Caenorhabditis elegans: one gene and its partners. The protein of the gene in region 2 interacts with the protein of the main gene of each other region in a pairwise test. Each region holds a gene or a part of one and is shown on either strand. Other genes may lie near its edges.

Region 1 (8,387 bases), on a different chromosome or scaffold from region 2:
TGGTTGGATGACGTATTTAGCCTGCCGCCTCGCAGGTTCATCAAGTGGTCCCACACCATGACCCCTTCTTGGAGAAGCTGGTGGACTGTTGACTGGTGTAAAGTTTTTGTCTTCTTTCTTATATCCAGGATCATTTACAACAGGTTCCCATTTATACTCTTCATTGTCATCATAATTATGTGGAACTCCAGGAGCAAAGTCAACGGGCATGGAGCTGGGCTCCACTGACATAGCTCGTCGAAGAGTCGGCCAGACATATGGTCTCTCTGGCGGTGGCTGCCATCTTCTTCCCAGCCTGTTTATCCTTGGAGCTTCTTCTGGTTTTTCTACAAATGTCTCACGACGCTTCAGCAAATCCACATCGTAGGCTTCTTTCTCTAACAGTTGATCAGAAGTAATAATTTCATTTTTGGCAACATCTCTAGGACGTTCAACGATGTACGTTCTCTTCCAACTAGTTGGAGCCTGCTGCGACGGTGGCTGATCGATTTGGTCAGATAACGCTGATATCGGTCTTGTCTCGTAAACTTGAACAGGATTAAAGACGGGTTCTGGATCTCTGTACGGTTGTGGTGGAGGTGGAGGAGATGGATAGTATTGCTGTTGCGGTTGATGTTGTTGATGCTGTTGAGGCTGGTGGTGGTGATGAGAAACTTGAGGCTGTGGAGAGATCGATTCCATGATTGGCACAGGTGACGTCATTCCATGAGACCTTTCGTAGAGCTTTTGTTGTTGCATCATCGCATTGACCTGTTTGGCCATGCTCACCGCTTGTTTCTCGTTGGTGCGTTGAATTGCTTCATACTCTAGTCGCTTCTGTCTCTGATACTCATCGATTCTTTCTGGATCATTAAAGTTCTTAGCAAGCACTGAACTAGGTCGTTCTCGTTCTTTCTCGGAAACTGGGGGCCACACAACGACTGATGGTTCTGCGTTTCGAGAATAATGATGAAGCTCGATTTCCGATGCGGAGAAATTTTGATGAATCGGTCTTGGTCCACCGTTCATATCTCCGGATGGATCCACTGACTGGCTCCGAGGATGCTGTTGATACTGTGGCTGTTGCGGCTGGTTCTGCCCTGGATTAACCTGCTCCAATCGGAAAAATGGACCATTAAAGGAGGTAGTAGTTGGTCTTGGACCATTAGGACCACTTCTCATATTTCGATGCCTTTGCAAGTTTTCATGCATAATTCGAGTTTTTTCATCTTCACTAAGATCTTCAAAGTGAGTCGGTGTCCGACGATCCGACGGTCTTGGATGCATTTGTTGAGGGTTCAGGGATGTCTCTTGGCTAGACTGATGATGATGTGATTCCGTAAGATTTGTCTGCGAATAGTACTGTTGTGAAGAGTACCCTTTGAGAATTGATCGTGGCTGGTGAGTTGGTGGTGGGCTCATTAACCGCTCTGGATAGTCAATGTCTGCTGGAGCCTGCGGCGGCGGAGGTGGTGGCGGACCTTGTGGTGGAGCACGCTTCACTTGCACATTTAATTCGGAAGGTGCTATTGGATTGTTTTCGTAGACTGACTGTAATTTTTCGGATAAAGATTTGGGAATAAATTTTTTTTAAAACATCACGCTCACTTTTTCAGGTGGACGTATTGCAGGTTTGTGTTCACTTGCAATGTTCTCAGTACTTCCAGGTGGATATAATAGCTGTGACTTGTACAATTGTCTGCTAGAAATGGTAGTTGTCGATGGTTGTTGCTGTGAAGGATGTGGCTGGTGCTGTATCGTCTCTGCAACTGGAGGTGGTGATGGTGGTGGTGGATGGTGTTGTTGTGGAGGATGTTGGATCTGTTGACTACTGTGGATATATGACGATGATTCTACGTGGTATGATGCACGACGTTCCTGAAAATTATTCAAGATTATTTTAAGTTAAACTTTTTTTAATTTTTTGTATGTTTTTTCCTTCCTCTACATCGTTTCTTAAAACTTTACTGAACACAATTCTAGACCTCTTCAACTTCTGGAATGTATGGCAAACTGATAGTAGGTTTTGTCCCAAAAACCGTGCCCCGGCGTGGTGGACGCGAAGAATGCGATCGAGATGACGTGGAGGATGACGCCACTCGAGCCAGATATTCTGCTCGTAACTGCCTGACTGTCGAGTACGGCGGTTCGGTATTGTCGTCGTTGGTTGAGGACATATTTGGATGGAAGCCTAATTGTCAGTAACTTTTCTATATAATTCTCTAGGATTTTTCAATAAGGCAAGACGAGATCTCAGTGGGAGAAAAGAAAATAGAGTAACTATAAATATAAAAATTATAGATTTGGTCAAAGATGAGATCATTTCAATGATGGACACTTTTTAATTTTGAAAAGGTATCTTGTTAGAGAATTTTTTTTAAAAATCGATTTCGCCAATAAAAGTTAACAAAACAATATCTCCGTGATTTTTGAATTTGCAACTTTCCAAAAAAACTCTTTTCGAGGGCAAAAAATGAAGTGTTGAGCAGCGAGAGCCGACCACTACGGTATGTACTCGAATAAACAGAGAATCCCAAAATTGTGAGAAACGCAGGAAACGAGAGTGCTGGTGTAACGATGAAAAAGAATGGTTTTGAAAAAGAAGTACAACACAATGTTGGACATTTTTCTCACCCGCCCAGCAAACAGAAGCAACAGTGATTAGAGATGGGTGCCTTGCGCTCAGAGTTATGTCTATTGACCACAAAAGTTTTTGAAACAATAGGTATGTTAAAGCTGTTCCGCCGAGAAACATTTGGTTGCAACCATCAAATTTAAAAATTGAAATAGAATTGAAAAGATTGAACCTAGATTCTGGCACCTAATAATGAAAAAAAACACAGTGCTTTTGAGGATAATGGGGAGCCAGAGACTTAGTGAGAGGTCGGAGAGACGCACCCGGGAACTCCTAGGATTTTGACGAATGTGTTTGTCTTTCTTGTTTCGTATGTTAAAAACGAGGGATAGTGGAGAGAAAGACAAAACGAAGCAAAAAGCGCCAGGAGCAACACAGGGGAGGAGGAGGTTAAGGCACGCACGAGCATGAACACTTATCACCATGAGCACACTATTCGGGTCAAATGCGTGTTTCCCCGGTGCGCGGAACATAAGAACGACGCGGAACGCATGACGGTTAAGAACTACTGCAGAGAAATGATAAATACATCTATGTGTGGAGATGACTGGGATTTAACGAATTTCTGTAAATGTTTAGGAATACGTTTGCAGGTGGTGTCAGGCTCTCCCATTACAGTGTGGTCTACGAAAAATGCGGGAATTTTTTCCCAAAAAAATTGTGGTGTCAGCACGCTCAATCATACAAAAAAATCAGATGTCTGTGTCTTACCTCCCGCATTTTTTGAAGATCAAACTGAATTGAGACATTCTGACTCCAAGTGCGTTTGTTACACTAATATAATCTTTTCAGAAGTTGAAGTGAATTTTAACAAACTAAAGTAGAATTTTCGATATTTATTTCACTTTCATATAATACATAGTGGTGGCATAGAAAAGTTATTAGGCCTTAAAAACAGCTCCAGAGAGTACTATAATTTTATAAGATCTCCTGGGTCGTTGTAGAACTCCTATGCAGTAAAAAAATAGAATTCGGGGTAGATCCTTATGTTTTAAGCTATGAATTGGACTTCAAGACTTGCTAAAGTTGTAATTAATTAACCTATTTCTCGACTTGGACATTTTTTAGCTTTGAAGATACTCCTTTTGGAGATGACTATTTACTAGGTAAGTCTGATCGTTGTAATTCTAATGGTTTGATACATTGGTTCACTAGATCCTTAATTTACAATTTTTCAGATATTCAAAATTGTTACCAACTAAAACATACCGAATACTTAGCCAAATGGAAGTCTTTCCTCAGTTGCCAGTGCAGCGGATCTGTACCTTCCGACTTCTCGTTGTCGGGTGCACCAACCTGTAATCAAAACTGTTTGTATTTTAGGCAATTTGTTTCAATGTTGTTCAATTCGAAAATTGCTTTGTTTTTATTTCGGATTACTGATTCAACAGTCAAAGCATCACCCCCACGCATACACCGACAATTATTGTGGGAGGTGCGCGAGCGCGGGCGCCTGCTACTGCTGCTCCGAACAAACTTCGAAACAAACAATTTATGATTGCGGTAAGAGATAGAGTGAAGATAAGGAAGCAATGAAGGTTCAAAGTCAATAGGATTTTCTAAAAAAAAAATAAAGCATCAAATATGGAAAAGGAAATAACATATGATGGTCGAACATGATTATTTTGGAATATCAAACTAGATTAGTTCGTTTTTTTTTTGTCACCAAGAAATTAAAAACCTCAACCAATACTGAATTTTAGTCTTATTTTTAGGCAATAACAATTTTGAAAAAAAACTGAAAGTTAACTAAAAAGGAATATATGCAATGAACACTTTTCCTTTCATTTTGATCTTAAGACTGTATGATCAAGACAAAACCTAAGTTTGAGCCTAAACATAATTCTAAGTACAATCCTAAGCTTAAACCTAAGCATATACCTACGCCTAAACATAGGCCTAAGTCTAAGCTTATACATACGCCTAAGTCTGAGCCTAAGCCTATGCTTATACCTACACCTAAGAATAATGTTTATCTTATAGTTAGGCTTAAACGGATTACACTGCACCCTAAGTCTGAGCCTTAAACTACGACTAAGCCTTAGTCTCGTTATGCATCATTTTTAACAAGAAACAAAAAATTCCTACAACTTTAACCTGAAAACCTCTAAAAAAAACCTACTCATTAAAAAAAATTTCAAAAAAAAGGAAAATCCTCATAAAAATGAAGGAGGAGTAAAGAGGAAAAGAAAAGAGTTTCAAATTCTATCCGTCAAGCCCCCTCTCTCGCCGCGCAGAGCCTCCAGCAGCCACACATACAGTTTGTGTGTGCGTCGGCGGAAGTTTCAAGAGGCTTCTATTCGATCGAAGGAGAGATGTGTTAAGCGAGAGAAAACTCTTCGGCAGAGACACTATTCGATTTGGCGTAGAGCGCAGGACGCAAATTTTTTGGTGGATCTCATTAGTTGAGATTTTTTGGGTTGAGAGTATAGACAGGGGCTTACTTTTCCAGTCGGAAGCTGGTCCATTGATCTGTACTTCTTAGGCTCATTCACCTTTGAGGTGTGATCCAAATATCGATTTTTGCGCATTTTGATCAGCCATCCAGAATCTCCCGGAGATATTGGAGAAGCTTGAGGTTGCTGAAAACTCATTTATTGTTCAACGAATGCTCCGTTTTGAAAACCTGGAGTACCCGAAAACATCCCCGTCTACTCACCGGATTTAGCTGCTCGAATTGTGACGGCGTAGGCAAGACTGACAAATCGCTCATCGATTGGGAAGTTTTCTGAATTTCGGCTGACGGCTCTCTACACACTATTACGCTTCACACCACACCGTGTAGTTTCAGGGAAGTTGGTCAGTAGGTAGTAGGAGGATCCATGTGTTGTCGTTTCCAAGCCAGGGATATCTTTTTTAAAGGAGGGACAACACAGTATAACATGCACATAAGGACAAACAGGAAGACAAACAAACATGCAAGAAAGGGGATATAGACTTACTCTTTTCAGCGTCTCGATTCTCTGGAAACAAAATTATAAAAAATGTTCTAGTGTGAATAAGGTAACCCTAAACCAATGACATCTCTTAATTTTGTCAACTGGGTAATCGGGTCGATTTTTGAAAATGTATTTAACAATCTTAAAATAAATTTTTTTTTTCAAGGGTTCGACAAAGTTTGTTGGTCATCACTTGTAGGCTTTGTGTAATACATTTGTGATGTATTGCCAAATTTTCCTTATATTTTCTAATTTAACTATTTGAATACCTAGATTTATGCGGAACTCCGAATTACTTTTTAACTATACTTTTCATGCAGTGCTATGCATGCTCACCTGTTTCATGGTTTCAAGCTCCCTCAGGCTCTCATCATTCTTCTTTGGTCCAGGCCACCCTGGTTTGTTCCATGGCTGATTGGCTTCGTTTTCCTTTGCCTAGAACGTTTAATTTTATAATTTCATGACTTTATTAAATTAAAATCACCTTCAAATACTCTCTGAGCCGGGATGCTTCCATCTCACGATGGCGATCGACACTCTCGGCGAGATAGTTGCTGGTGGTGATTGGACGCGATTCACTGCTCTGAACATGATATAAAATTTTATTTCAGTCTTCAAAAGTACGGCTTACTCTGAACCGACGTTGCTCGAGCGGATCAAGTTTGATCTTCGACTTGCTATGCTCACTTGGGAAGTCTCCGGCTAGGTTCCGGCGGGGATCCGGAATTCTCGTGGAGATATATGGCATGTTAGCATTTGTGATAACCTGTAAGAGAAAAGTATATTGAGACCAACAAATAAGTTTAAAATAATGAGTCACTTATACAGAGCCTAATGATTTTGTAAAATAAACGTTTCTCGCGACGCAATCTGGCGCTGATCACTGTGATTTTTTTGTCGTAAGTTGCACTTTCTTCTAAAAGTTCCCTAAAGTTAATTGTATTTACACGATTTTTGAAAAACTACAAAATTTGAACTTTCTCTCTTTCCTCCCTCCCCCTTAACTAAATTGATGCGGATCTCAAATGCGGAAGGAGAAAGCCAGGTTGTTTGTTGATTGCCTCGTTACCCTCCACAAATGCTCAACTATTTTCCAGGTTAGTGACCCCATGATCGGCTTTCTTAGGTAGTGAGACTGTTTTTCTCTGGCTCCGTGCTTGCGCGCGCGCACGCAGAAGTTTACTTTCTAACGTTGTAGGAAAAAATGACCGTGTGTGCTCAAAGGAACACACATCGCGATCAGGTAGACTAGGCCTAAAGTATTTAAGGAGTCAACTGGGAACTTTGAGAAAGAAACCGTTTAATTTTCCCTTTTCCTCAAATTTTTCTTTGGTCGCCGTAACTTCTAGATTTTCCAGCAAACGATGAGGTTGCTCATTGTGCTCTCCGCACTACTTATCCCTTGTTTGGCGCAGCTTTCCGAAGACTCATCGGAACTAGAATTTGGTGGGCAACAAGCTCAACGTCCATCTCCCGATGGACCATTGTTCCCTAGATTCTTGATGCATGTGCCTAGATTTGCTAGAAAAGAGTTCTTCGACATTGTTAGTAACGATCAACTCTCTCAAGATCAGCAAAATGAGCAGCTCACAATCTGGGCCAAGGCATTCAATGTGACGGTAAGTACTACCGTCCTTTAAGTTTGAGACACATTTGATTTTTAGGACGAATTTAACGCTTGGACAAAGAAAATTCAAGAACAAAAAGAAGCTGTGAGCAAGAACGTTGAAGCCGTGGCTTCTAATATAACCACAGTATACACCCAGCTAGAAGAAATTCTTTCGAATAGCAACCTGACCCGACGTGACCAACATGATCAGATCAGAAAGCTTGCTACCACCTTCCCAAGGGTATGTTTTTGCTCATACTCTGCTTTATCTAAAGATTATGGTTTTCAGGAAGTCCGCGCTTTGTTTTTCATTGCTCGCAACTACCGTCCTGAAGGCAGATCTCCAATTTTCGGTCAAGGAATAGGAATGGGAAAGAAGCCACAATCCTCGATGGTTCCATTTATCTTCCAACAACAGCAACCACCAATGATGATGTTTGGGCAACAACCGTTTATGCCTGCTGGGCCAATGATGATGAACAGATTCCAACAAACTGGGTCACAGCAAAATTTCCAGTCTAGAAGAGGTGGAAGGGGGGATGGTCCAGGATTTGTGCCAGGAACTCAGGATAATAACCAAAGAGGGTCAGGAGAACGTGGGCAAAGGCAGAACTTTGGACCATCCGACAATCTAACCAATGGAAATCAGTTTTCTAAGAAACAATTTGCCCGAGGACCTTCATCAATGAATTCTGATTTGTCAGAAAATTCTCAGCACAGTGACTCAAATAGCCAGTTCGACTTCCCCAGAGGACCAGGAGGACGTGGTGGACGTGGACAGGGACCAGATTTCGGACCAGGAGGTCAAGGAGGCCGTGGGCAAGGACCAGACTTTGGACCACAAGACGATTTCCCAGGGCGTAGAGGCTCAGGCGGTCCAGGAGGACGTGGTGGACGTGGACAGGGACCAGATTTCGAACCACAAGATGATTTCCCAGGACGTAGAGGCTCAGGCGGCCCAGGAAGACGTGGTGGACGTGGACAGGGACCAGATTTCGGACCACAAGATGATTTCCCTGGACGTAGAGGCTCAGGCGGTCCAGGAGGACGTGGTGGACGTGGACAGGGGCCAGATTTCGGACCAGGAAGACAAGGAGGCCGTGGGCAAGGACCAGATTTCGGACCACAAGATGATTTCTCAGGACGTAGAGGCTCAGGCGGTCCAGGAGGACGTGGTGGACGTGGACAGGAACCAGATTTCGGACCAGGAGGTCAAGGAGGTCGT
Region 2 (6,691 bases):
TCGAATTTTTCCGGCAGATAGGCAAATTGCCGGAATTGATTATTTCCGGCAAATCGGCAAACCGCCAATTGCCAATTTGTAGACAAAAAAATTGGCGAAATTGAAAGTTTCCGACAAATCGGCAAACCGGCAAATTGTCGGAATTGAAAATTTCAGGCAAGTTGTCGGAATTGAAAACATCCGGCAAATCGGCAAATCGGTTAAATGCCGTAATTGAAAATTTCCGGCAAATCGGCAATTTGCCGAAAACGAAAATTTCCTGCAAATCGGCAAACCGCCAAATTGTCGGAATTGAAAATATCCGGCAAATCGCAAAATCGGCAAATTGCCAGAATTGATTATTTCCGGCAAATCGGCAAATTGCCGGATTTGAAAATTTCCGGCAAATCGGCCAAACGGCAATTGCCGAATTTGTCGATAAAAAAATTTGGCGAAATTGAAAGTTTCCCACAAATCGGCAAATTGTCGGAACTGAAAATTTCCGGCAAATCGGCAAACCGGCAAATTGTCAGAATTGAAAATTTCAGGCAAGCTGTCGGAATTGAAAACATCCGGCAAATCGGCAAATCGGTTAAATGCCGTAATTGAAATTTCCGGAAAATCGCAAAATCGGCAAATTGCCAGAATTGATTATTTCCGGCAAATCGGCAAACCGGCAATTGCCGAATTTCTCAACAAAAAATTTGCCGAAATTGAAAATTTCTGGCAAATCGGCAATTTGTCGAAAATGAAAATTTCCGGCATATTGGCACACCGGAAAATTGTCGGAACTGAAAATTTCCGGCAAATCGGCAAATTGCCGGAATTGAAATTTCCGGCTAATCGGCAATTTGTCGAATTTGTTGGCGAAAATCCGTCCACCCCTGATCTCATTAATTTAAATGAAAAACTAATTTCGTGGCAAGACCTTTACAGAACTTTTCGTGCGCCTTTAAACCAATTTTTCCGATTTTTTGTGTCTAAAATGCTTCCTCACATCACTCATCGCAGTGGAATCATCGAATCGTCCACCTCGAACCTTCGGAAGGCCTTCCATAATCGAAAAACTGTACATTGGCTGACAATCCAAGAAAATTTGATGATTTACAATATAAATATCGATTTGAATTGTTTGATGTCGTGATTGTTCGTTGGCTTCTCGAGAAACTGGCCGAAAAACGTATTCCCTGTACATTTGACGTGAATTATTCCCTGCCAACATGCTCAGCAATGTGGATTTTCCGGCGCCCTGCGGCCCGATCGCAGAGATAACGTTGAAGTTGGGGCTCGATGTGAGGAGATCCTGGAAAAATTACAAATGCGCTCCACGGTCAACTCCACCCCCGAATAATGGGTCTCGTTAGTTGTTTGGCGGCGAAACCGTAATTTTAAAAATTTTCAAGTTTTTCGTTTTTTTGTTTTTGAACTTTTTCAAGCTATTTTTCGTAATTTTTTTGTCAATTTTCAAGGATTTTTCGACCTTTTTTTGTCGATTTTCAAGCATTTTTTGTAATGTTTTTTTCAATTTTCTAGCAATTTTTGTAATTTTTTTGTGTCAATGTTCAAGTAGTTTTCGTGCTTCTTTCTTCAATTTTCAAGCATTTATCGTGTTTTTTTTTACATTTTCAAGAATTTTTTTGTAATTTTTTGTCAATTTTCAAGAATTTTTCGTGTTTTTTGTTTAACATTTTCAAGCAATTTTTGTAATTTTTTTTGTCAATTTTCAAGCATTTTTCGTTTTTTTCGTCGTCTTCTGTTTTTTTAATGTGTTGAAATTTTTTGTTGAAATTATAAATGATAAATGCTTGAAAACTGTCAAAAGGGACGAAAAATGCTTAAAAAATTGACAAAAAATACGAAAAATGCTTTAAAATTAGCAAGAAGCACAAAAAACTTAAGAAATTTGACAAAAAATGCTTCAAAATTGAGAAAAAACACAAAAAATGCTTCAAAATTGAGAAAAAGTACGAAAAATGCTTGAACATTTTTCAAATTAATTTTTAAAATTTTGGAAGCATTTGAATTTACGAGCAAACCCTAACGAGACCCATAGTTCGGTGGAGCGCGTTTTCACGTCTCCAATTTCAAGAAGCCATTTTTCTGCGTCTCCATAATAAATTATTAAAATAAAAAACACACTGAAATCGCATCGGAAATCTCTCCGAAATCCGTCAAAAATCGCACAGACTCCTTCATCGCTTTTTGCGATGGCTCGATGACCGTAGCGGCGGTAGGCGCCACGTCATCGGCCACCGGACGTGTTTTGATGGCGATTTTCGGTGCTCCATGAGTTGGGCTCGCTGTGGAGGGTCGGGCAGCGCCTCCTGCAGATGATGGCCGAGATGTTTTCAGAATTTCCACTTTTTTCATCTGGAAAATTGCAAGATTTTAATAGAAATTTTGAAAGTTTTGCATACATTTTAATCAAAAAATTCGCTCAAAATCCATGCGGCAGTCTGAAAAGAGGTGTGCGCCTTTAAAGATTACTGTAGGAATTTTATTGACTTTTATTACAAAAACCTCGTAACAACGCATAAATTGTTTGGAAAAACAAGTGAGAACTAAAAAAATCAAAACAAATTCGGCCTGGAAATTACAGTACACTTTAAAGGCGCACACATGCTTGCATTTGGCAAATGTTTTTCGTGTCGAGACCGGGCGCTGTATCTTTGGCGCGAAAATTTAGAAGATTGTAGTTTTTCTCGGTAAAATACTGAAACGAAGCCTTTTGTACTTGTTTCTCATACAAATAATCTGGAAAACAAATAAATAAGCTGAAAAATTCATGTACAATTAGAAAATATAAGGCGGAAAGCGAAAAGGCGGGGGGAAGAAATATTATATTTTACAGAAATAAATTATGCATCCGTCGAAATAACGGACATCCCATCGGAAACGTCGACATCATTCAGAAGTTGATCGCAAATCTGTGAGAGCTCCGACACGCGGTTCGTGAGCACCTTGATCTCGTCGTTCTTGCTGGAGAGCTCGATTTCCTGGCGTTTTACACGCAGACGGAGTCCCTTTGTGTTCTCATCGTGGGATCGGAGAAGATCGTCGTACTCCACGGATGCTCTGAATTGAAATATATTCTTACATGTTGCAAATTAAATTTTCTCTCACTCACCTCTCAAGCTCAGAATTCGCATTATCCTTGACGGCGAGGAACTTTGCCTGCCACTCGTCAACTTCGGCGGCGGCGAGCTTCAGCTTGTCCCTCGCGTCCTCGTACTCGCCGCGGATGTCGTTGGCGGCTTCGCGAACCGTGTTGAACGAGGCGAACAGTGTCGCGTAGTTGGCGTGGAGCTTGTCGGCTTCGGCACGGGCGGCATCTCGATCTTTCAGCGCTTTTTCGAGCTCCTCGCTTGATGCCCCGCCGCCTCCGATGCCGTTTCCTGGCGTTGTTCCGTTGCAGCGGCCTTGTGAGATGATTTGGCCGTTTGAGCAGCGACGGACTTCGAATTCTGAAATTAATATGGTTTTATTCCTCTTAAAATCTCTTTTAGCAATTTTTCAAAGCTTCTCACCATCCGAGTGCAAGAGCCGCTCGATCAACTCTGTGAGCGCCTTCGTCGTGTGCTTCATCACAATGATGTCGCCTCTCGTGGCACCGCACAGTGTCTCCACTGAAGAACTGGGCTCCGCGGCTTCTTCAACCTCTGGCTCCTCGTTCTCCGGATGCCCATTTTGCGACCCGTTGAATGGGATGACGACCTCGGTTCCGTCCTCTTTGGTGAAGGTTGTGTTGAGCGACATCTGAAAATCGGATGAATTTAATAGAAAAAACCGACATTTTTCGTGAAAAACGGAGAAAATTAACGATTCTTCAGTTTTCCCGCGTCATCATTTATTTTCGTGGTAGGAAAATTGTTTTGAAGATTAGTATGCGCCTTTAAAACTTCTGTAGTTCAATTTTCTTGTTTTACAAGGCTTTACAAGAGGGTTTCAAAATAATTGAAACAAATTTTTAATTAAAAAAGTCATTTTTTAATTTTTAATTCAAAAAAAATCAGTAAAAACCATAACCAACAACAAAAAAAGCACGAAAAAAGAGTCCACAAGAGTAATCGTGGCGGGAAAATCAATACAAAAATTGGACTGCGCCTTTAAAAAGTACTGTAGAATTTTTTTAAAAACATTTTTTGTTATCTTTCAATTTTCAATGTTTCTCTTCATTTTAAACTATTTTAATGATTAAAAACACATCTTTATTGCGAAAAAAATTAATATAATACACTTTTGCATAAAAAACCGCCAAATAAAAGTGCAGTTGGCCTAGAAAGCGCTAGGTCAGAGAAGGGAAGCGGCCAGGACCTTATTTTGTTCATTTTTATTAATTTTCACCTTAAAACAGAGAAAAAAACAAAAATATTTGGCAATTAAACAAAATAGAAATTAAAAGTAATTAAAACTTAAAACTTCAGAAAAAAATCGATTTTTCAAAAATTGCGAAATTTTGAACAATGTTTGAACATCCTTCTCTCTTGAAAAATATAGTTTTTCATTTTAATTTTAATTCTAATTTTACAGCTGCCAAACTAGGTACAAAATGGATCTTCTCAACTATATCGAACGAATTGGAGATGGTTAGTTAGCTTTTTTTCCATTTTTTTATTAAAAAAATTTTTACCAGATGTTTTTTCAGATCCACCCTCACCATCACGGGTAGCAAGCTTCCACCAGGAAATTCAAATTCGATTTCCATCGGAATTTCTAGAATGGTCGAATTGTGAAGCTGAACAAGAAGGTTTTTCAGAAGCTCCAGAAGCTCTTTCCCTACCCCAAGTGCCTTCTACCTCGGGCTCTGGGAGCATTTTTCAGCCGATTGCTGACACATTGCTTATATATTTTCCAGATACGTTTGAGGTTGATTTTCGGCTAAAAAATCAAGTTTCTAACCTATTTTCCTTCAGACAATATCCCAAAACCTTCTACAAATGTTGTGCTCGACACGTTCCGATATGGATCTACAGGGCGAGCTCATCGATCTTCTCGGCGTCGAATTGTTCGAATTAGCCGGAGATATACTCGAAAAACGGAATAAAATAGTTTTCGAGGTGAAGAGCCAGGAGCTGGCGAAAGTTGAGCATGCGAGGCAGGCGAAGGCGAAGGTAATAGTTTTGAAAATTTTAAAAATTTGCTCTAAATGGCAGAATATAACAGTGAAAAAATTTATAAAAATTTTCTAATTTTTTTTTGATTTTTTGAATTTGGTTTTCTGGCTGTTTTTTTTATTTTTTTTCCATTTTTTACAATTTGGAACATAATTTGTCAATTTTTCGGACATTTTTCCACAAAAAACGTTTTTCAAAAATTAAATTATCGATTTTAGGCTAATTTTAGAGTTTCAACAAGTTTTTTACGGAAAAATTTCTGAAAATTTTATAAATTTTGTTTAAAATTGTGACATAACGAAAAATAAAGAAAAACCAGATAAAACAGTCGGAAAACGCAAAAAAGGCCAAAAAGACCAAAAAGCCAAAATCAGGCCAAAAAAAAGGTCAAAAGAACTGATTTTTTTTGAATTCCAGAGTAAAAAAAGTGACGTCACTTTCGCGTTCTCTGACTTTAATTGATTTTTCTTCAATTTTTCAGCAAATTTCATTACGAAAGAATGTCTGAAAAATCCACAAATTATGTTTCAAGTTATAAAACAGAGAAATATCAATTAAAATAGCCGGAAAAACGCAAAAATGTCGAAAATGACGTCACTCGCTTTGCGCGGGAATTTAAAATTTAATAATATTTCTGTTTAGCCCTTTTTATTTTTGTTTTCAAAATATAAAAAATCATGACAAAAATTTAGAAAAAAAAAATTAAAAAACAACAAAAAAGATTTTCGCAAAAAAAAGCTCATATTTATTCGACCTGAATACAGTTCTTAAAAAACGAGATTGCCAACGCCAAAATGATGACCAACGAGGCTGAATATCCGATTCCTCCCTGAACACAACGATCATTGCAAATCACGAATTCGGACAATGTTCTGTGACGTTTCACATAGCGAATTGCGGTTGTATTCGTTTTTCCTCCGGATTTTCTAATCGATGCACCATGAGCTCCATTCGTTTTCGGTGGCTTGATTTCTACAAATTCCTGGAAGTTGACGGCTGCCGAGGTGTCACATCCGATGGCGTTTCGCACTTTCTGAATGAGAAAAGCTGTGAGAAATTGGTTAAACTAGGCGAATTTTCTACAAATTGCTTTATTAGACTTGGAATTGTCTAAAACGCCGAATCTCCTAATGAATCTTCTTGAAAACTTCTCAAAAAAAAAAAGTTATGACGGCTCAAAAAAAATGACATAAAATTCGTTAAAATTTGAAATTTGACTTGTCAGCGGCTGGAAACTAACTTTTTTGAAATGGTCGTCTAATTTTGGATGTATAAGTTAATTAACTTGCGTTTTCAACTCGATTTAGGTACATTTAAGGTCTTCTGGCCTTTCAAACCGAGTTGAAAACGCATGATAATTATTGTACACCCAAAATTAGACGGTAATTTCAAAAAAGTTAGTTTCCAACCGTTTGGCAAGTCGAACTTCTAGTTTTACTAATTTTAAGTAATTTTTTGAGCCGCCATAACTTTTTTTGAGAAGTTTTCAAGAATTTTAATTATGAAATTCGTTTTTTAGACAATTTCAAGTCTAATAAGCAAAAAAAAATTCGACTACACCACCTTCAAAATCTAAAACTCTTTCCCCACCTGCAACT
Region 3 (11,351 bases), on a different chromosome or scaffold from region 2:
AAATTTCTGGGAAAACACCTCTTTTTTCGTTTTTCAACTAAAGAATGTAAACTTGGTCAAAAAATGACAGTTAAAATTTTCTTTTTCAAAGTTTTCAAATAAAATTTAAAATTTCTGTCTAGCCTTGGTGAAATAATACAATGAACGTTTTCTGGTTAAAACTGCTCTTATCCCACTAATTTTTTGATGGGAGCCATTTAAAGCTTGTTCAAGAAGCCTTTTTTAGAATTTTGGTTTAAAAAACTTTAACTGAACACATTGTGAAGCCTAAAAATGTTTGAAGTATTATTATAACATCCTTTTGGATATAACATTTCCAAAGTTTTTTTTATTTAAAAACATTTTTGTTTTTTCCCTGCAACCGCATATAAATTTTTGTTCAAATATTTTTAACAGAGTGAAAATTTAATATCACATTTTTGGACCACAATTTTGGACATACTTCCACATACTGGTTATTTTGGAATTAGAAAATTTCTTGAACGTTCAGAACAATTATTATTAAAGGATTATGAGCTAAATAAAACATTACGTCAAATCATCCTCTTCTTCGTCACTTCCTTCCGACTCTGTGGCGGAATGTGCGAGCACGTCATCATCGTGAACCAGTGGAGGATAAACCGGTCGTTTTGGCATGTATTGATTAAATGCTTGCACTAGTTCCTCTTGTGTCATTTTCATTTTTGCCATGGTTGATCTGGGAAATTTGTTTTTGAAGGTATTTACGAATTCAAAGAAGATATACACAACTACTATATTATTTTGAGATATTCATTATTCATTTTAACTTTTTATTAAACATTATTTTCACTAAGAAATTCAGTTAGTAAACCAGTAAACAAACATTACAATAGAATAAAATTAACTGTCTCATTTTCCAAAAAAAAAAAAACGAATAATAAAAAATAAAGAACCGTCATACAAGTTGGGAATGCAAACAAATTTGTGAGAAACTAGTTAAGAATATCCGATAAACTTTAATACGTTCATAAAGCACGCACGTTCACACGGAAAAGACGTCAACCATCCTATTGACGCGTTTTGTGCGCGCACACGAAAAATTGCATGAAAGGGGGTCACTGACATGACCTAGCTCAATTATTTTACCCTTTATTTTATCTCAATGGTACTATGGTAGAACTGAAATCTTTTAAAGTTATTTAAACCGTAAGCGATATCATACTATTGTTACAGAAAAATTAAAGCGTGAACATAAAAACAATGAAACACATTTAATGAGGCAGAAAAGAGTAAAACAAGTAACTTTGCTATGTAAAAATAAATTAAAAATGAGAAAATGAGGAACTATTCTACAATTATAAACATTCATAAATTTAAAATCAAGATATCAATAAAATAAAAAAGATTGCTCCCGGTGAGGCTCGAACTCACGACCTTCAGATTATGAGACTGACGCGCTGCCTACTGCGCTACGGAAGCACTGAACAACGTCTGCAAAGTAGGATCAAAAGAATAAAAAAATGTTCTTAAATTCGAGCCAGTCTGTGTTTCAAATTAACAAAATGTGAGATAAAATAAATTGCTAGCTTTGACTCAAATTAAAAAATGAATTTAAACAGTTAAATTAAAAATTAAATTAAAATTACAGTTTTCTTCATGGCAACTTATGCTACTTGGGAAAACTTCAAAAAAAAAATTGCTCCCGGTGAGGCTCGAACTCACGACCTTCAGATTATGAGACTGACGCGCTGCCTACTGCGCTACGGAAGCACGTTGTGAACTCTTCACAAAGGACTTGAGAAAGGATGCAAAAACTGAGATCCCAAGTGGGACAGGGATTTGAAAATATCACAACTGTAAATAGTCTAGTTGAAAAATCTCAAATTTAACTCATAGTCAGTAATTAAAATATTATTGATATTTTAAAATCATTCTAATCTTATTTTGCGTTTAAAATACATGTTTTTTTCGTTAATTGAAAGACTAATAAAATATCAGGAACAATATTTCAGTCGAAGAAATATATTAGGCAAAAAAGATTGCTCCCGGTGAGGCTCGAACTCACGACCTTCAGATTATGAGACTGACGCGCTGCCTACTGCGCTACGGAAGCACATTTCGAAACGGATTCTGAAGAGTACTTCAAATCCTTTTGTTTCGGAATTTTTCCAGCGATCTAATAAAATGAATATTTTTAATGACAAATTGCCGCAGTCATTTTCAGAACACCCTGATATACTGAAAATAAAGTTTTTTCTTGTTACTTCAACACATGTATGTTTTGCAGATGCAATAAAATCTTTATTCAAGATAATTTGTATAAAAAGTTTTTAAAAATAATTAAAAAAAAAAAGTTTGGAACCAATGGATGAAAATAAAATGCTCTCAGAGTAATAAAAGTCCCAAAAAATAGAAATGAGCCGAAGTTTTTCATCAGTAGAGAGTCGGGAATATGATAATGATTTGCGGTTAGTAGAGACAAATGAAGCGTTGAGAATATCACAAACTGTCACAATTTCAAGTAAGAAGTGAATTGAGTTGGGGGAGGAAGGAGAGGGAAGAAGGAAGGAAAGCTGGGGCGGATTATAAAATGCAAGTATTTGTAAGGTGAATTTCAAGATAAAATGGGCTGTAGAGAAAACAGGCAGTACAAACTATCGTAGTAAAATATTCGGAGACAAAAGTAGAAACGATTCACCGTTTTCTGGCAGTGATTGTGGAGAGTTATGATTGAAAATGAAAATAATGAGCAAGGTAAAAGAAAAAAAGAATCAGAAAACTATTGAAATATTGGCCTTTCACGTTTCTGAGTTCGAGTAGTAGAGTTTCTTGAATTGAGAACTTGGAAAGGTCATGTAAATTAATGCATAATAGGGAAGGGGTACTAAACAAAATACAAATAAAGATGGGGATGGAAACAGGATAAAGCAAATGACATCAAGAGTTTTTTCAAAGGATCACTTTTCTCAGATTAAAAAAAAGTATCACAACACGGCGTAGTCTAATTATTAAGGTAAATTAAACTGTATATTAATTAATTTCAAGAAGACATATTTCTTGAAGAAACGATTATTTGTCTAAAAAATATCCAATTTCATCTAATGACGTGGCACCCAAATTGGCGTCTGCGATTCACGGCTGATGATGGAGTACACTTTGCTCAAAACGTCATTCGCGCTGTGCACATTTGAGATTTCTTCTGAAATAAATAAAAAATCAGATATTTGATAATAATGGTTGGAAAAAAGACATACGCGTGAACAAATCCCCGAAAGTTTGCTCAATTCTATGACATCTGGAATACTGCGCTTGAGCTTCTTCGCCACTCATCGCTCGATCGTCTTGTCGGTTGGTGGCAAGTTGGCTGTCCAATTCACTGAAATTTTGCAGATTGATAAAGCTTCTTTTTACAATTTAACTTACAGAATCTGTTGTGCAGAGCTGGGCTTGATGAAGATCGAGATTGGTTGAATATTGGCATTGCTTTGAAGTCGTCGGATAGCATTTCCACTGACGTCCAGAATACAGTGTCTTCCTTGGTTGGCGACATCTCGGACGCTTTGAATGCTAGTTCCGTAGAGATTGTTTTGGAATTGTCCCGCTTCAATGAAGAGATTATTCTTGACATCTTCCTCCATATTGTGCTTGTTGACAAAGTAGTAGTCACGTCCGTTAACCTCTCCCTCGCGTGGTGGTCGGGAAGTGTCTGAAAAGGGTATTATGAGTATATTGCACATACTATTTAGAAATGTTCTCTTTTTTAAAGTAGTTAATAACTTCACAACTTACGTGGAACGCAGCTACTGAATTTCGAAGGGTCGCGGTTGACAAGTTCATCGTTGATTCGGTCTTTGAGAGCTCCAAGAATGATCACTGGACGAACGTAGTTGATCGCCTGTTGCTCAACTGCCTGGTAGGACCACACTGGCTCTTCAGCTACATTTGAGGATTCCTCATTAAGATCGTTGAGCCGGTCGGTACTTTTGACGAATGGGAACTTTCTGGAGAAGGAAAGCTGACTGCGGCTTCCTCTTCGGTTTTCCAATCCAGTAGTGCTCGAGTTTCTTCCAAGAGACTGCGATCCCGAGTTGAAGTTGACTTGCTTCCGACGAAGTCGTTCTCTCTTCTCGACACGTTTCTTTGATGGAATCACTCCTTCAGCTGTTTCTTCTCCGTTTTCGTGAACTTTTCTAGCTGTCCACCATTCATCGTCAGATGAGTTGATGATATGTAGGATGTCACCATAGTTAAATCCCATTGATCTATGGGGAGCAACAGAGTTTTCACGTGATGGATCATAATCGAAAAGTGCTCTGAAAGATGTTATTCGTTGATATATGTATACATTTATAAGTAAACAAATCTTCTTACCTAACATATTCAGACTTTCTGCTCAAAGTTCCCATTCTAGATTGAGCAATCACGTCGTTTCTCAGCTTCTCAATTTTGGACTCAAAAATTTGATACTCTTGTGGTCTGTACTGAAGAGTGAGATAAACGGGATTTCCAGCGTTTCTCAATGCTTCAGCTGCTTCCTTATGGGTTGCATTTCTCAAAACAACTCCGTTCACTTCAAGAAGAACGTCTCCAGTCTTCACGTTTCCACTAAGATCAGCAACACCTCCTGGGAGAACAAAACTGATGTAGATGGGCTCATTGTCTTCTCCGCCAACAATGTTGAATCCAAGTCCATTTTGGCCCTTTACAAGTTGTACTGGACGGGGTTCGAGTGGAATTGCGATGGGGGCTTGTGAACTGTAGCTGGTGTTCAGTGGTCCTCCGTAAGACAAATGACTTTGAGATCCCATTTGAGAGCGGTTGTAGTCTTGAACGGAGCTAGCTGAAATGAAATTAATTAGAAACTATATTATTATTTTTGATTCTTGGGATTGTCTTACGTCTGAGAATTGGGGTAGTTGGCATGAATTGTTGGCTCGCCGAGTCATTGAAAATTGCCCCAGTTCCTTGCTGAATAAGAAGTCGAACACGATTTCCAGTGTTTTTGAGAACATTGACCGCATTTTCATGAGTCGTGTTAATCAAAGAGTGATGATCAACTTCAAGAATCTTATCTCCGACTCTTAATCTTCCGTCTAATTCAGCTGCTCCCTCCTCAATGATTTTCGTCACATAGATATCGGTATCTCCTTTAACGTGCTCGTTTCCTTGACCACCAGCAATAGAGAAACCAAGTCCACGTGCTCCCTAAAAAAAGTTCACATAGATTCTTTTGTACTTTGGAAAGAGAAAATGTCGCCAACCTTAACCAGATCAATGACGGATGTATTCGGTCGTGTGGAACGATATTGGCCAACAGATAATTGGCTCAATGATCCGTGATGAACTGGTGGTGGCGGTGGTGGATGAATCGGAGCCGATGGAGAATGAATTGCGTGTTGCAAGTTGCCGGCGCTCACTGATGGAGTGACTCCTGATCTGAGGTAAGAAGTCGACCCGCCAAAGTTTCCTCCAATTGGAAGAAAGGCTTCATCTTTACGCCGTTTCAAACTCAACGAAACAACGTTTCCGGAGCTTTTCAATGCGTTGACTGCAACCTCATGCTTCACATTTTCACAGTTTGTATTGTTGACTGCAGTGATAATATCATTCTTTCTAAAAAAAACATGACCATAAAGTTCTGTTCATCTTAAATTGCGGTTTTTTACCTCATACGCCCATCAGCAAGTGCGGCACCTCCTTCAATAATATTGGTGACATAGATAGAAGTATCTCCGTCTTCTGTTGGTTGGTCCATACCTATAATCAGATATGTTACATCATAAATACCGGTTGAACGCGCATACCTCCAGTAATCGAGAATCCAAGGCCGGTGTGACCTTTCTCCAAGACAATATTCTCAAGCTCCCATTTACGACCATGATCATCGATAACTCCAGTATGCTGAATATATGATAATTAAAACTAATATTGAGCCAAAATTATCTTACTTCAACCACACGTCTTTCAAGACCACTTGGAGTGTCAACTGTTCTTGTGGTTGTTTCCCGCCATGTTCCATCATGACTGGTCTGACGTTGACGCTCATGAAGGTAGTGAGTGCTGGATGAGTTGTACGGAGAAGACAGAAGTCCGTTTCCAAGTCCATTCCCAAGCCCGTTTCCAAGGCCTCCGCCGTTCAAATACGAGAAACCTCCCCGATCTCTCAGCTAAAATAATTTTTTTTATAAAGTATTAAAAAAATCTAGAATCCAAATCCAGAGAAAAAAAGAAAGCAGAGCTTACATCTGAAATAAGTGGAGTTGTGCTTGAAAGGTTGTAGTTCGACGTGGAAGTCGTCGCAGCCGGACGACTGTTGTAGGAGTGTGGTCCACCTTCGAGTCGCTCAATCACACGCCTTACTTCCATATTTTTCTCTGCATCTGATTTTCGCTCGCTGAGCAGCGTCTGCTCGTACAGATCGTGAATGTCGAGCAACGAATGCATCAGGTTTGATTTGAATGTGGTGATAACTCGTTCCAGGTTTGTGCGTAGCTCCTCATTGCCGTGTCTTGTCAGTGTCTGGCAGTAGTCCTCCACATTTTCTATCGCTTTATGCGCTTCTGAAAATACAGTTTCATGTTCAGTTATAATTGTTGTAGGATTATGCACATCCCAAGTCGCAAAGTGTAACAAGTCTAGGTTGATGACTCATTTTGCGGCAAAACATGGTCAACAAAAAAGGTTATCATGCGCTTTCTTTCCCATCCCGGCAAATAACGATGAGTCACCCTGCGAGGATGCGCAATCTCCCTCGTTTTCCCTCCTTTCTCCCCTTTCCCTTCGGAATGTACAAGACTGGCCCCGGAAAGATGTCTCCGATGAATAAAGGGGAGACTCCTGGTTGGACTGTCGGACACGTACACACACCATCACAAACAGATTGTTTTCTCTTTGCCCTCTTTCTTTTTGCCTTCTATTCCTCCCACTGCGTCTTCTTCGCCTTCTTATACAAATATAATGTTTGCACATTCAGAGACGCATCCTCACCATCATGCGCGCCAGAAAGCATTCACCTGGCGGGGAGGAGGAGGAGGCTCCGAGTAGTGTGAACTTTTCGAAAACGTATATAGCAAAATTATTACGTATATGTGTATGTGTATCGAAATGTGTAAGTGTCAACACCACAATACCTCATGAGGCGGGGTGGCCGTATTTGGCAGTTTCGAGGTGATAAGAAGACTGTTGAGATGCGATCATCGCATTGAAGTCATAAGAAGGCAGGGAAAGGGGGAGCGTAGAAAACGCAAGAATGTACATAAGTTGGTGTGTTGCCTTGGCTAATTCTGGTCATTGTGACATTGAGTTTAACGACCACGGCGACCGTAGGAAATGGGTTCGGTGATAATTGGTTAGGAGAAAACTGTGGCAAACAATTGAGATTAGTGGACATTGAACGTTTTGCAAAATAGAAACAGTTTGAAACTTAAATGTCTAGAACTCACTTTCCGATGACTCGTGGGACATGCTTCCTTCCTTCGGTGAGGCGTTCTTCCCACTCCGATCGGTTTTCTTTCGATGCTGGTCGCTGAAAATTGAAAAAATTAAATTGATCAACAAGTTTTTGAGACTGAAAATAGAAATAGACGACTGGTTTTAATGCTTCTAATAATCTAAAAACAGAGCTCGGTAAGAAGGAGGCATTGAAGACGAAAAGGAAAAACTGTGCGGCGATAAGACATAACTTATCAGAAAGAAACAAGAATTTACGGCAAACACACGCACACACACACACACATACACACAAGCAGGCCGCCATTGAGTTTGTTTTAGCGAACTTGATGTAAATAATAGAAACAAGATGCAGAGCAAAACGAGCAGGGGAAGGAGTAAATGAAATTTTTTGAAAAATCTAGGAAGATTCATAAATCATAATCCATCGTGGATAGAAAAATAGAAGGATATCCCGTACATAGAAGATGGAAGACGCTAGGTTTCGCATTTCACTTGTGTCGAGTCATGGATATGTTTATTTTTTGTTCGGCAATTCCCACCAACTATTGGTATGATTCAGTAGGTTGGATGAGGGGGAAAAATATAAATATTCCTCTCGTCTTCCTCCGGGCGGGTCGCATCTTACTCTAGATTAGTATCTACCAGAAGGGAAGACTGTGTGTGAGAGATCTGATAGATATGCTTGAGTAGAAGAAGAGGTAAAAAAGAAGGGCGTTTGGGTATAAACGGTGGGGGTCTTCAACGTTTATTGGACACCAACCACCTCCGCCGGTGGTTTTATTATAGACGCGAGGCGACAAACCGCACCATCGGAGAGGGACCTGGTAGGAGGAGCGGGGAGTCGATTGTTTTGAAAGGTTGTCATCTAATTCAAAAATTAGTAAACTATTATTAGGTATTTTTATCTTTGGATATTTTGTAAAATTCTGAATTTAAATAAAGGAGATTAAGTTCGGAGGGTTTTGGCTCCCTGGAAGGTTTCATAATGAGTCCTGAAAAATAAATCCAAAAATTTTGGATTAAGTTTATTTAAATTAACATATTCCTACAATTTGTCTTTATCACAGATGCCAAAAATATATACAAGCCAGAAATTTTAAATTGTTACCACCCCATCACGTCTCTTTAAGTTAAATAGTTAAAATTATCTTCGCTCTAAAATGTATGTTTCATTAGAACACTAACAATTTTATCTAAACAAAATGGGGGTTTTATTAGAAAATAATGCCATAAAATTGTATAGTTTGAAATTAATGGTCACAGACACGTCTGCAAATTTGAGTTCACAAAAAATATATTTCAATAGCCACTTGATTTCCAAAGAACTGAACAAAAAACAGGAACAAGTCGACTTGAAACAAATCACAGTGTCGAAACATAAATGGTCAAGATGAGAAGTGGAACAGACCCGGCCAGCATAGAAAAAACAACACTAACTTATGCGTCACGCTGTGTGTGTGTGTGTGTGTGTGTGTGAAATTATATTCAACATGTACAAGCCAACGGGACATTAGTCACGACATGCGGGAAGAAGATAGCGAACGTCGTCTATTGTACCAAAAACATGCCGGGAACAAATGCGCCAAAAAAGTTGTGGCGAGGCGAATACTCTACTACTATTTCGAAATATGGAATTAAAAAAGTCATATTTTTTTCTATTTTTTTAAAAAGGTTTTTTTAGTGCGCCTTGACTGTAGCGATTTTATGTACTTTTGGGATTTTATGACTAAAATGGGAACACAAAACGTCTAAAATATACCCATACCTTAGTTTCTTGATTTTATTATTACTGATAAAAATATCAGCATCAAAGAATGTTTGCAAAGTGACTCATATATTGCACAAAAATAACCGTACAAAAGAGTTCATAAAGTTTCCAAAAAAACATACACTTGCGATCTCACGACATCTAAACAACAATGTACAGATGTTTAGTAAAAAAGGGAAACACACTAATACATTCCATAGAAGTAACAGTGCAACTAGAATGTTAGAACATCGATAGATAGACAAATACAGAACTGAATCGAATCAACAACCGATCATGGGACACATTGGGAAAACGCAGTGAGAGAGGAAAAAAAAGAAGAGCCAGGTAAAAAATCACTGCAAATCGATTGATAAAAACGAGGAAACGAGAAAACGAACGGTATGAGAATCGAACGGCCATCTCACTGCTTATATGTGAGCGTCGTGGTTTTGCTTGTAATGGCCATAAAATCGGAGGCCCCTCAATACGAAGAAGCAGAATAAGAAGAAGAAGCAGAAGGAAAAGGAGCGGAAAAGCAAGGGTGCTGGTTTTGGCTGCCGCAAGATAATAGTTTCTCAACAAATATTATCATGACAAACAATCAGTACGATGAAAATGCGACACAGTGTTGGAGATCAAGTGTCATTAGAAACGGAAATGAGTCAACCATTTTATACTAATGAGACTGGCAACTCTTACCTTTCAAAATGATTTTTTCTTTCAAAATGACACACTTGATACAATGAAGGAAAGAAGGGAAGAGAAAATTATATATGTATATGCATGATGTGCATGACAAGTCGGCTCTATTGATAACATGTAAAACGTGTGAAAATATAGAGGGTAAGATGTAGATAGAATAGTATTCACTGTATAACGACCGACATAGGCGCTGGTGCGTGGAGAAGAAGAGACGAAAATGCTTATGCATCTTTCATTCTCTGTGGGGGACTTTCTAAGCTGACAAATAGTTTTGCGCCCTCATTCCTAAAATGGAGATCATTCGCGAAAACAGCAGGGGGTTTCAGGTCTTTGCACTTCCTAGACTAATCATTTGGAATATGTGAGAAAAAAGTGAAGGGGTTTTATTTAGATTTGTGAAAGGAAAAGTTGTAAGAGTCAATTAATTAAAATATTATTAACTGAAACATCAAGAGGGTTTAGATATAACGCAGCAGAGAGAAAAAGGATTAGATAATCCGAAGATGTTTCAAGGACATGGTTTTTGAGATCACTAACAAGGGGGCGCCCACTCACTAAAATTATGCAAGAGAAGCGACTGTGCCCCGGAGTGCGAAATCAAGAAGAAGAAGAAGGACAAAACATGCGGATTATGCGGCCCATTGTTTTATTTGAATAAAACATATAGACCGGTCACTCGGTCCTCATTTTCAAACGCGCCAGACGTTAGTTGTTGCTTTAAGAGCCCCCGCGACGGCCGACTTACAATCACCTCTTATCTGTTCTGGCAGGCATGTGCGGAGAGCCAACACAGAGCCACCCCGACTAATCATTAAAACATGAGGGAAACATTGGCAGCGACAGATAACAAGAGATGCGTTTTTTTGCTATTTGAATTGGAAAAAATTATAATTAAATTGAAAAATTGGAATAATAAATAAATGGAAGTTGGAATATTGACTGAAAAATTTCAAACTTTTAACTCAGCTTCAATTTTCATTTAAAACACAGAAAGTCTAGCTTTTGTCTGAAATATCTAATTCAATGTAGAAATATTGAGTTAAATATACTTTCAATGTAAAATTTAGAAGAAGAAGAGAAGCTCAGTTGCACTCATGTTTTCTTGCATCACAAAAATAATCAATTTATACTTACCCCCAACAGCTGACTTGTTTTTAGTTTCCGGATTGAAACGTTAAACCTCCTCAAACACTTTGTTAAAATTTAGTTCCAAAAGTATGTTTTCGGAAGAAACATTAAATTTTATCAAAATGTGCTAAATTGACAAGAAACTCAAAAGTTGAAACTTTATTGAAACTATAATAATTTACTTGGATCTCCGGAATTTTCCGATTTTGTTAGTAAGGTGGGTTAAAAACATTTTTTTCTGAAACATAAATGTCTATACTCATTAAATATGTCTTAATCTAGTTATTTGACTAGTTTGGTAAACTGTGAATTCAAATTTGACGTTACCTAGCAACAGGAGGAGCTTGTTGGACCATGA
Region 4 (2,930 bases), 9.1 Mb from region 2:
TGATGAAAAATCTGCCGAATCAGAATCTGAATCGTCCAAATAATTCAAAATTGGAGGTTTTTCCTTCTTCTCGCTTTTCCGACGTTTCTCTTTCGACTTTGGTGTAACTTCCACGTCATCTTCTGAAAAACTGCCGATAGTCTAATCATTTATTCGAACGGTCGCTCACCTTGTTTTTCCCTTTTATTTTTCTTTTTCTTCCCAGGACGTTCACCTTTCATAAGTGCAAGAGCGACAGGAGCCTAAATTTCAAATAAAGTTTCCATGTGATATTAATTTAATAACTTACAGATTTCATGATGGCATTTTTGAGTAGTTCACCCATGGCTGGGCTCACAAGTTCTGCTTGTGGCGTAGTTACATTTGAATGTGATTTCATTTTGTCTGAAAGGGAAATTAGTATGTATATTATATCAATTTTAAAAAAATGAATAGAAGTATATCATAATCGTTAAAACGAGTTAACAGTGTAGTACATCATATTCCGAAAATTAAAAAATAATGTTTTATACATTTTATGAACCCGTAAAAATATACAAAAAATAAATTAATCAGAGTCAGAGAAGGATGCCGTAGATTCTCCAGAAGATTCATAATTCCGTGAAGTCTGTGCCTGTGGACGAGATGGTTCATCACCGCGTTTCAAAATTGATGGGTCGACGCCTTCGGATTTCATTTTCTGTATTACACCAGCTTCAAGCACTCCCTAAAAAAAATTACAGTATTATTAAAGCAATTTCAAGTGGATAAACTCACCAATTTCAGCATTTTGAAATATTTACTATAAGCCGGGTCGTCTTTGATAAGAACCGTCGTAGTATGTTCTTCTGGTTTCTCTTCCACTGTTTCCTCCACGATTTGTGAAGAGCTGGGATTCGATTCGTGAATTTCGTCTATTTCTGGTGCTGATGATGGTGTGGCGGTGGTTGATTTATCCTCCAAACTCATTCCTGCCAATTTCGATTCCATCAAGCGTAACTTTCGATCGGCAGTGTCTAAACTCTGCTCTGCCTTTTCCAAAATGTCTTCCATTTTATTTCCGAAATTATTGAGCATTTCTGTCATTTTCATGATGAGACAGTTGAATGTTACTGCTGTACGGTGATGATCGATCGGAGGAACCTTAAAAAATTTAGCTTTAAAGTTTTATGATGAGATTTTAAGATATTACCTTGTTCAAATCGATTGCAGGTTTGGTTCTGGAGCTCGCATTCATTGCTGGTGATCTAAAAATTAATTAATGATGCAATTAATTACAAGAAATGGAAATATGAAAAAGGCACAAACCATATAAGTTAGATTCAAAGTAAATTAATTAGATTAATTTGCGAAAAATACTAGAATTTATGATAAATTTAGAAATCAAAATAGGATTGACGGATAAATATGTGCATGAACTAAATAAAAAATCACAAAACGGCAATGGAATTTTGATATTGCGAGAAGAAAGTGAGATAAAGCCTTCAAGACTTTTTGGGAAGGGCGATAGGGCAACAGATTCAAGAAGAGAATAAAAATTTACAAATTAATTATTTTGGTAGATCAACTACGCGGATTTCTTCAATCGGCTCAATTTGATCAATATGACCAATATTTTGATTATGGCGGGGCGTACTTTGAAGTGAGCTATCACTGCTTGGAACGGGAGATCTGTCGAGCACTGAGCCAAGATTAAGAGGAGGAAGACGTTCGTCGGGAGTTAGAATTTCATTAAGCGTTTCAACCATTGGCACAATATCTTCAAGAATTATCTGAAAATTAATTTTTGATAAACGGAGCAAGTTTTTTGAGCAAAAATGTAAGGTGCAACATTTTAAAAATCAATTTTGGTATGATGCATTAAATATTGTTTCTTTTTCTAATTCGCACCTGAATACTACAGATGTCATCGTGCAATTGATTAAGTCCGCTCAATGCAGCCATAAAACCGTCATGTTGTTCTTTATGAGCTCTTGTTTCTTCAATAAGTCTGATCATTTTCGCTTCAACACTCTTGCAAGTTGCTGGAATTTTAGCTTGATCTGCTGCCACTGCTTTCGCATTAACGGCAAAATGTTCTTGTAATCGTGTTGCTAGTCTGAATATGTGACTTTAAAACTTTGAATAAAAGGAATAAATCTTACCGAAAAAAGGGCCGCGAACTGATTTTTTGATGAGTGTAAGAAGCTCCTTGATTCGTTTGTGGATCTCGTTTGCCTATTACGGCTGGAATCACCGGCAAAAAACGGGGAATTTCGGTGAATCTTTTGTAAATTTCATCATCTTCGAGTTTTTCTTGAGGAATATTGCCATCTTTGACCGTGATAATGCCTTTTGATCGTTTAGTACTGGCTCGAGTGAGAAATGAAAAAGACGACTGTTGATTTTGAGGATTAGATGATGTGCCCGCTGTTGACGAGCTTTGTTCGTTTCCCATCTGAAAATTTGTGTAAGAAGTTAAAAAATTACATCAACTTTCACAAACCTTGATTTAATTTTTTGTACTATTGATGGTTGGTCCCATTTGAATTTGATCCAAACCAGTCTCGTTCCAGGTAGTGTTTGGGTCGGCGGGCTGACGAGCAATGGTGGGAATTGCGTCGGTTTCGATATCTGGCTCAAACTCGCGCGGAATTTGAATCTCGGTCTAAAAATGAATAATTTTAATTTCAATACTTACGGGTTTTACACTTTAATTATTCGAAAAGCTTGTCACAAACCTTTGGCAGACGCTGGAATATCCACTCTTTGTCCCACTCTAAAAATGTGTGATCAAGTCGAACTTCTGATGGGACGAACGACATACGATGGCTTTCTCCGAAGTTTCCTTATCCTGTAATCAATAATTTTATGTATTTTTAATCGGAAACGTTTAAAATAAATGGAAAACTCCAAAAAGGAATAAAAAGAAAAATTGTGCAGACCTGGAGAGCGCGTTGAGTTTGAACACA

The links.
Region 1: the proteins of tac-1 (region 2) and pat-12 interact in binary tests that used the Caenorhabditis elegans proteins (3 or more experiments, as listed by UniProt).
Region 3: the proteins of tac-1 (region 2) and dlg-1 interact in binary tests that used the Caenorhabditis elegans proteins (3 or more experiments, as listed by UniProt).
Region 4: the proteins of tac-1 (region 2) and ddl-1 interact in binary tests that used the Caenorhabditis elegans proteins (3 or more experiments, as listed by UniProt).

The regions. Positions count from the first base shown.
Region 1 is NC_003281.10:733,771-742,157, forward strand, and holds the start of pat-12 (Protein pat-12), read right to left. Parts: upstream 5,209-8,387; coding exon 5,059-5,208; intron 3,911-5,058; coding exon 3,824-3,910; intron 1,858-3,823; coding exon 1,588-1,857; intron 1,531-1,587; coding exon 1-1,530. Other genes in the region: idpp-1 (SXP/RAL-2 family protein Ani s 5-like cation-binding domain-containing protein), read left to right, coding at 6,918-7,172, 7,218-7,403, 7,452-8,387.
Region 2 is NC_003280.10:14,750,141-14,756,831, forward strand, and holds tac-1 (Transforming acid coiled-coil-containing protein 1), read right to left. Parts: upstream 3,738-6,691; 5' UTR 3,736-3,737; coding exon 3,507-3,735; intron 3,444-3,506; coding exon 3,107-3,443; intron 3,055-3,106; coding exon 2,838-3,054; 3' UTR 2,751-2,837; downstream 1-2,750. Other genes in the region: smg-9 (Nonsense-mediated mRNA decay factor SMG9), read right to left, coding at 977-1,282, 2,119-2,349; Y54E2A.4 (Activating signal cointegrator 1 complex subunit 3), read left to right, coding at 4,529-4,565, 4,625-4,845, 4,893-5,090; Y54E2A.5 (uncharacterized protein), read right to left, coding at 5,839-6,126, 6,684-6,691. UniProt on the Caenorhabditis elegans protein: Involved in microtubule formation, polymerization and assembly, regulating microtubule nucleation and length. Plays a role in pronuclear migration and mitotic and meiotic spindle elongation during early embryogenesis.
Region 3 is NC_003284.9:5,475,835-5,487,185, reverse strand, and holds dlg-1 (Disks large homolog 1), read right to left. Parts: upstream 7,487-11,351; 5' UTR 7,426-7,486; coding exon 7,404-7,425; intron 7,195-7,403; exon of another isoform or gene 7,084-7,194; intron 6,968-7,083; exon of another isoform or gene 6,690-6,967; intron 6,522-6,689; coding exon 6,205-6,521; intron 6,129-6,204; coding exon 5,910-6,128; intron 5,863-5,909; coding exon 5,766-5,862; intron 5,719-5,765; coding exon 5,628-5,718; intron 5,575-5,627; coding exon 5,223-5,574; intron 5,167-5,222; coding exon 4,860-5,166; intron 4,802-4,859; coding exon 4,333-4,801; intron 4,275-4,332; coding exon 3,751-4,274; intron 3,668-3,750; coding exon 3,385-3,667; intron 3,338-3,384; coding exon 3,216-3,337; intron 3,161-3,215; coding exon 3,060-3,160; 3' UTR 2,245-3,059; downstream 1-2,244. Other genes in the region: C25F6.1 (Condensin-2 complex subunit H2), read right to left, coding at 533-690. UniProt on the Caenorhabditis elegans protein: Essential multidomain scaffolding protein required for normal development. Recruits channels, receptors and signaling molecules to discrete plasma membrane domains in polarized cells. Required for proper embryonic elongation.
Region 4 is NC_003280.10:5,646,659-5,649,588, forward strand, and holds ddl-1 (WASH complex subunit homolog 3), read right to left. Parts: upstream 1,227-2,930; 5' UTR 1,217-1,226; coding exon 1,172-1,216; intron 1,123-1,171; coding exon 757-1,122; intron 707-756; coding exon 548-706; 3' UTR 501-547; downstream 1-500. Other genes in the region: F59E12.9 (TFIIS central domain-containing protein), read right to left, coding at 1-122, 170-242, 290-379; sam-4 (BLOC-1-related complex subunit 5), read right to left, coding at 1,530-1,751, 1,870-2,077, 2,124-2,416; F59E12.17 (Anaphase-promoting complex subunit 13), read right to left, coding at 2,471-2,626, 2,700-2,783. UniProt on the Caenorhabditis elegans protein: Acts as a component of the WASH core complex that functions as a nucleation-promoting factor (NPF) at the surface of endosomes, where it recruits and activates the Arp2/3 complex to induce actin polymerization, playing a key role in the fission of tubules that serve as transport intermediates during endosome sorting.